Macaca mulatta: one gene and its partner. The protein of the gene in region 1 purifies or fractionates together with the protein of each later gene. This does not show direct contact. Links are inferred from orthologs where the notes say so. Each region holds a gene or a part of one and is shown in the gene's direction. Other genes may lie near its edges.

Evidence for each region. Proteins that work in one complex are often made in the same cells at the same time.
Region 2: the proteins of HSP90B1 (region 1) and CALR fractionate together in Homo sapiens (co-fractionation; 4 studies listed by BioGRID, with this or other methods). This does not show direct contact. The link is inferred for Macaca mulatta from reciprocal best matches to the Homo sapiens genes HSP90B1 and CALR.

The regions. Positions count from the first base shown.
Region 1 is NC_133416.1:111,149,220-111,152,966, forward strand, and holds the start of HSP90B1 (endoplasmin precursor), read left to right. Parts: upstream 1-1,086; coding exon 1,087-1,135; coding exon of another isoform or gene 1,136-1,304; intron 1,305-1,478; coding exon of another isoform or gene 1,479-1,488; exon of another isoform or gene 1,489-1,725; intron 1,726-2,095; coding exon 2,096-2,198; intron 2,199-2,846; coding exon 2,847-2,988; intron 2,989-3,523; coding exon 3,524-3,640; intron 3,641-3,747. Other genes in the region: uncharacterized protein LOC144333002, read right to left, coding at 682-1,304, 1,479-1,488.
Region 2 is NC_133424.1:13,503,663-13,507,409, forward strand, and holds the start of CALR (calreticulin precursor), read left to right. Parts: upstream 1-1,180; 5' UTR 1,181-1,211; coding exon 1,212-1,302; intron 1,303-1,664; coding exon 1,665-1,766; intron 1,767-1,958; coding exon 1,959-2,162; intron 2,163-2,584; coding exon 2,585-2,679; intron 2,680-2,771; coding exon 2,772-2,981; intron 2,982-3,068; coding exon 3,069-3,182; intron 3,183-3,271; coding exon 3,272-3,415; exon of another isoform or gene 3,416-3,448; intron 3,449-3,747. UniProt on the Homo sapiens protein: Calcium-binding chaperone that promotes folding, oligomeric assembly and quality control in the endoplasmic reticulum (ER) via the calreticulin/calnexin cycle.

The DNA.
Region 1 (3,747 bases):
CAGGAAGGCCTGGGGATTCCGGCTGCGCACAGACGAGGTGAAGGCCCGGGCTGCCCAAGTGACACACTTGTAGGCGGATTCGGAAACGCGTGCTCTCGAGCCGGAGGCGGAGCCCCCAGACTCAGACCGACCCCCCAGAACAAGGCGGCCTTGCCCGAGGCGTCAAGGCTTTCTAGGCCCGCTTCTAAAAGCTGTGTACAATGGAGACTCCTGGAATAGGCACATATCTCTACTGTAATCAGAACGAGATGTAACATCTAAGACGCAGGACAGGGCTCCGGCAAACACACGCTGGGGGAACGTGAAAGTAAGGGCCAAACTACGCAGCTGGTCCTCAGAGACCAAAGACTACGATTCCCAGCATTCAATGCAGTGTACCCCATAGGACATTGCATGTCGGGAGCTGTAGTTTCTCACCACCTCCATCTGGAAGGGTTCTAGGGGATTTTCAACCACTCTCGTGTGTTTCTCCTTTCCGAGAAGCGCCGCCACACGAGAACTCTGGCCGCGAAAGTCGTGCTGGAATCACTCCCAACGTAACCCCAGATATAGATGGGAAAGGGTGAAGAACACGTTGCCATGGCTACCGTTTCCACTGGTCACAGAATAAACGCTCTCTAGGATCCGGAAGTAGTTCCGCCGCGACCTCTCGAAAAAGATGGATGTGTTCTGTGCTTACATTCATTGGACGGTTGCCCTTAGAGGCCACAGCCGCCCAGGCAAAGGGGCGGTCCCACGTGTGAGGGGCCCGCGGAGCCATTTGATTGGAGAAAAGCTGCAAACCCTGACCAATCGGAAGGAGCCACGCTTCGGGCATCGGTCACCGCACCTGGACAGCTCCGATTGGTGGACTTCCGTCCCCCCCACGAATCCCCATTGGGTGCCGTGGGTGCGTGGTGCGGCGCGATTGGTGGGTTCATGTTTCCCGTCCCCCGCCCTCGAGAAGTGGGGGTGAAAAGCGGCCCGACCTGCTTGGGGTGTAGTGGGCGGACCGCGCGGCTGGAGGTGTGAGGATCCGAGCTTAGGGGTGGGGGTGGAGGCGGCTCCTGCGATCGAGAGGGACTTGAGACTCACCGGCCGCACGCCATGAGGGCCCTGTGGGTGCTGGGCCTCTGCTGCGTCCTGCTGACCTTCGGTGAGTGATCCTAGAGGAGCAGACGTCCCCCCTCTACACACGCGGCCGCTTCTCGAAGGTTCTGGGGGCGTTGAACCTGGGAGGGGGGATCCCGAGGCCTGCGGTGGGCCAAGGGACGTCACCTTTCCTCGAAAGAGGGCCAGGGGATTACGTTTATTCTCTTCTTCCTCTGGAAATAATAAAAGAGAGCAGAATCATCTAACTCCCCTACAGATCTAATAATATCTCGCCCGGAGGTCTCAGCGACCTCGGGGTGGGGCCTCTCTGGGGCTCTGGCTCCCCCGGGAGTTGTGAGGAGTCCCTCCCCCCTCCCCGCCCGGAGGACTTTTTCGGCCACCGCTACCTTCGGCCATCCCAGCTTTCCCGTCCGGTAATTCCCCAGACTCCGACTCCTCGCAAGCGCGTGTCCTTTCTTAAGAAGATGCTGGCTTGGGAGCGTGAGGCCTGGGGCCAGCGGAATGGCAGTGTCAGCGTGTTTGATTCGGTTTTGCTGGAGCTCGGTTCTTAACATTTCGCCCCCTTCTCATGCCTCTGGGCTCAATTTCAGTTCCTCTCGCCAGAGATTGCATAAATCCTATTTGCATTCTGACCTGTGATAACGAAGGCCGAAGTTTTGGTTTGGTCAGTTGGGAGGCCTTGGCTCGGCCTGCGCGCAACACGTGTGGTTGTAGAAGAGACCTGGTGTCAGTCTGCTTAACGTTATTTATAAATGATCGGAGACACACTGTTTAGAAGTGGTGACTACCTCAGTATTTCAGAATCTACTGGGGACCTCAACATCAGAACTTAAATAGATGTGCTGTCTTGGCTTTACCTTGGGTATTTAAACCAGGGAATACACTCTTTCATCCCCTCCACCCTTATTTACCAGCTGAATTTTGCAACCCCTACCCTTCCCTATTTGATCATCCTCCTTGGAGAAGTGCGATGTTGAAGAGTTTTCCCGTGTTAAATCTTCAGGGTCGGTCAGAGCTGACGACGAAGTTGATGTGGATGGTACAGTAGAAGAGGATCTGGGTAAAAGTAGAGAAGGCTCAAGGACGGATGATGAAGTAGTACAGAGGTTTGTGTTCATTTGAACTTACCTATACAGATAAGCCCTGTGAACCTTGTGAGTTAGGGTCACTTCTTATGTATCTCTTCTCCAAAGGTCCAGATAAAGTCTAACACCCTGTATTTAAATACCTGGTGAGTTGTGTGCATACATACCTCCTAACTTGTCCCTGGGAGTGATTAAAACTGAGTGAATTCCTTTGAAAACTATATTGCAGAATACTAGCACCACGAACTTTGTAAGACTTTAGAAAAGAGTTTCAGTTGGATTTGTATTCATTAACTGTGTACGCCGAGTAGTTTAAAAATGGGATTTCTGTCAGTTGAACAATATTTTAAAATTTGGCCTCTTGGGATTTATTGACAGTTTTGAAGTCCTCACCGTGGAGCATAAATGAGTATGACTTTGCTTTTTAGTAGAGGAGACTTGGGGGTTTTTTTTCTGGCAATTTTAAGAACCAGGTATTTCCAGTGCAATGTTAAAGGTAGCCTACTGCTGTGCTAACATAATGAGATGGTATATCAGTAATACTTTATAAGGGTTTCCATTTTAACCCCCAAGACAATATTTAGAGGCCACTGTGCTCGCATCATAATTCCTCTAGTTTTGAAGGGAACTAAGCCATGCAATATTTGCTTATCTAACTGATTTCCTTAGAGAGGAAGAAGCTATTCAGTTGGATGGATTAAATGCATCGCAAATAAGAGAACTTAGAGAGAAGTCGGAAAAGTTTGCCTTTCAAGCTGAAGTTAACAGAATGATGAAACTTATCATCAATTCATTGTATAAAAATAAAGAGGTAAGCAACATGTGGTTAGAATATTTTGTCTCTATATGGTGGCATACTTGTTTACTTAAATTTGCTTGATTTACTGCAAAAGTAATGTACTAACCGAGTAAGTAGCTAACAACCTTTAAATACTTAATATGTCCAAGAATTGTTACTAGATATCTGGGAAGAAAGGGAGCATCAGACATTTTCTTTTTCCTTTACCTCTAAATAGGTTCATGGCCTGATAATAGTTGTGATTCTAAGGGCAGTCTCGTAAATTAAACTTCTTGCATTGTATACCTCAAGATCACTGTCAGATGGGTAGTGTTACTACCCTTACCAGCTAATGTATCCCTTATAGTTGCCACAGTTCTTTGTGTAAGGAGCTATGCCTTTTTTTAATCAAAAGAATAAAGCCACTCCTATACCATAAGAAGTCTTAATTCCTTAAAGAGTGCTTTTATAAGGTACAGAGAAGAAATAAAATGGGTTTGGCATAAAATGAATATCTTAATGTATCTTGAGGATAGTCTTAAGTGTATTACCTCTGGCTTCCATTTAGATTTTCCTGAGAGAACTGATTTCAAATGCTTCCGACGCTTTAGATAAGATACGGCTAATATCACTGACTGATGAAAATGCTCTTTCTGGAAATGAGGAACTAACAGTTAAAATTAAGGTAAGTGTAAGGCAGTTTTTCTTTCTTTTAAAGGAAAAGGAATCCTTAGAGGTAGAAGATCCCTATCGGTCAAGATAGGCTAGATTATATTGCAATGACAAAAAACC
Region 2 (3,747 bases), on another chromosome or scaffold:
CCCAGAGTTTGGAAAACCCCCAGATCTCCTTTCTACAGCTTGGGGGCAGGGTACTGGTGCCAGTCACGTGCCTCTGGCTTCAGAAGACTCCAGACTGGGGTGGGGTGGGGGGGTCCTGCCCATCTCCCTAGCACCTTATCTTCGCTACCATCTGTGTCTTTTTTCCCTCCCCAAACGGAACCCCCTGCCCTCTCGCCTATAGCCGTTTAATTGCAAAAGCCAGGCCGTTTGTGGGAGACCACAGACAGCGACCTCCTTCATTTACCGGTTGAGACGAGAGTAAAGGGGCTGCTGCAATCTGGGTAATAACCCTATCCCCACCCCAGGAGTCACAGTCACATCGTTAAGTCTTCCTCCCCTCTTGTCCCAGGCCAGCTTTAAAAACGTTAACAGCATTTCTGCTGGGTAGCACCTGGCCAGGGTCACCCCCTCTGTCTGCTCAGGAACGTCTGTCACTTCAGAGAGGTTAAGTGACTTGCCCCAGTCACACAGCAGCAGTCTGATAGGCTGCCAGGGCCCTAGGGGCAGAATGAGGAGAGGGCTGGCATTCTTCCCACTGGCCCGCGTGGCTGTAGCACCGGGGTGCAGCGTAGCCCCAGGGCCCCAACCCATGAGCTCTCTCCTATCCTGGGCGGGGGTAGGGGAGCAGCAGTGGGGTGCTGGTTCCCAAATGCAAGATAAGAACTGGCTAGGAAAGCCTTGCCCAGCCCCTCCACCTAGAGGGAACGGGAGGAAGAGAAGCTGAGGCGGGGTCCCGATCCCGCGTGGAAACACCTGCGCTCCCGCGGGTTCTTTAAACGCCCAGATGGGGAACGACGCGCACGGGCAAGGGCGGTCTTAGGTTCAGGTCTGGTCACATGACCTGGCCTGAGGGGCTCGCGGCCCCCACCTCACCAGTGGGCGTCCCCCACAACGCGTGGTCGACCATCATTGGTCAGTGGTGAGGCCAATAGAAATCGGCCATCTGGGAACCCAGCGTTCCGAGGCGCAGCCTAACCTAGTGAACCGACGAAGGTCCAATGGAAAGAGACGGCCGTGGGCGCAGGCCAATGATAAAGTGTCAGGGGCGGGCCCAAGGGCTGGGTCAGGTTGGTTTGAGAGGCGGGTGGGTATAAAAATGCAAGGCGGGCGGCGGCGTCCGTCCGTACTGCAGAGCCGCCGCCGGAGGGTCGTCTTAAAGGGCCCGCGCGCCGCCGCCCCCTCGGCCCGCCATGCTGCTATCCGTGCCGCTGCTGCTCGGCCTCCTCGGCTTGGCCGCCGCCGAGCCCGCCGTCTACTTCAAGGAGCAGTTTCTGGACGGAGGTAACGCCTGGTCCCACCTCGAGGCCGTCCCGACGACGCGGCCGGCCCCCCATCCCGGATCTGCGTCGTCGCCCGTAATTACCGCTTAGAGGGCCAACACAGTGGTCCCCGGCGACTGGAGCTGCGGGCGATCCCTCTTTTGCGTCTCTGGGGAGCGCGGAAGGCGTAGCGGCCTCCCGCGGTGGGAGTTAGGGTTCGCCCGAGGATCGCTGAAGGCACCCGACGTGTCAACTAGAGGTTGGGGTGGGGAGAGTCGGGGATCTCCTTCCCTGTCCCCAGCAGCTTGTGGTTCTCCGCAGATGCTTGGTGGGGGGGGGGATTAGCAGAGCCGCGCTGACCTAACTCTCTAACCCTCCACTTAGACGGGTGGACTTCCCGCTGGATCGAATCCAAACACAAGTCAGATTTTGGCAAATTCGTCCTCAGTTCCGGCAAGTTCTACGGTGACGAGGAGAAAGATAAAGGTAAGAGCTTAGGAGTGGGTGCTCAGATCCGCGAGGACTTCCTGGCAGAAGTCCTTGTCCGCACACACACAGCCGGGACAGTCCCCTAGGAGCAGGGCAGGTGGAGGAAGTGGGGGAGTCGTCTGTATCGTCTAAATCGAGGGTCCTCGCGGGTCAGGACCCAACGGTGACCACACTACCGTCCCGTCTCAGGTTTGCAGACAAGCCAGGATGCACGCTTTTATGCTCTGTCGGCCAGTTTCGAGCCTTTCAGCAACAAAGGCCAGACGCTGGTGGTGCAGTTCACGGTGAAACATGAGCAGAACATCGACTGTGGGGGCGGTTATGTGAAGCTGTTTCCTAATAGTTTGGACCAGACGGACATGCACGGAGACTCAGAATACAACATCATGTTTGGTGAGGGGCTGCTTCCTGGTGCTGACCTCTGTCCCATTAGTTGGAGGGAGACCCAGACCCCATTGACTTTCTTAATAGTTATGATTGTCTTTGGAAGGGGCGCTAAAAGAATTAAGTCACAGCAACAATTTATTGCGTTATGATCGCAGATCTAGGCTGTTAATTAATTTGTGTCATTGTATATAGTTATTTCCCAATCTTACAAATGAGGATGTTGAGTTCTAGAGCACTGATTTTTTTTTTTTAATTTAAACTTAAGGCTTCACCCACAACCCATTCAGCACAGAATCAGGGTCTGAGTTTCTCTTTTCAGCCTTGACAGACCCGAGTTTAGGAACCAGGTCTTCCTTTTGTAAAGAGGGGTGAGGAACTCGAAATGGTGGGTAGTCTCTGACTTTTAACTGGATCTGCTTCACACCTAGGTCCTGATATCTGTGGCCCCGGCACCAAGAAGGTTCACGTCATCTTCAACTACAAGGGCAAAAACGTGCTGATCAACAAGGACATCCGTTGCAAGGTGTGCCTGGGGGTGGTGGCAAATGGGTGTCATGGGGAGGTTCAGAGGTCAGCCTGATTGAGGGGGGGCTGCTCACCTTCTTCCTTCTTCAGGATGATGAGTTTACACACCTGTACACACTGATTGTGCGGCCAGACAACACTTATGAGGTGAAGATTGACAACAGCCAGGTGGAGTCGGGCTCCTTGGAAGACGATTGGGACTTCCTGCCACCCAAGAAGATAAAGGATCCTGATGCTTCAAAACCTGAAGACTGGGATGAGCGGGCCAAGATCGATGATCCCACAGACTCCAAGCCTGAGGTTGGTGTTTGGGTGGGGGCTCTGCTCTCCACATTGGAGGGTGTGAGGACATTTGGGCCAACTCTGACCTCTTCATCTACCCCCCAGGACTGGGACAAGCCCGAGCATATCCCTGACCCCGATGCTAAGAAACCCGAGGACTGGGATGAAGAGATGGATGGAGAGTGGGAACCCCCAGTGATTCAGAACCCTGAGTACAAGGTGAGTTTGGGGCTCTGAGCAGGGCTGGGGCTCACAGTGGGGAGTGCACCAACCTTACTCACCCTCTAGTTCCCTTCTTCCTTCTGCAGGGTGAGTGGAAGCCCCGGCAGATCGACAACCCAGATTACAAGGGCACTTGGATCCACCCAGAAATTGACAATCCTGAGTACTCTCCTGATCCCAGTATCTATGCCTATGATAACTTTGGTGTGCTGGGCCTGGACCTCTGGCAGGTGAGACTTGGAGGAAAAAGGAGGATCCCTGGGGTACCTCAAGTGCATAAGATTACCCAAGGGGAAAGTGACAGGATACGATCGCACCCCAGGCGGGTCTGACTCAAAAATGGTACTTTTTGTAAACAGTACTTCCTGGTCTGTCCCTGTGGAGTCCTCACAGCAATGCTTTTGAGGCTGTACTTCTTGTGAACTAAGTACTTCCCCAAGTACTTTTATGCAAATCAACTTCTTTAAATACCCTGAAAGAACTAGAAGGTGGTCAGGTAACCCACTTAGTTAGCTGGGGCTGGGCACAGTGGCTCACCCTTATAATCACAGTACTTTGGGAG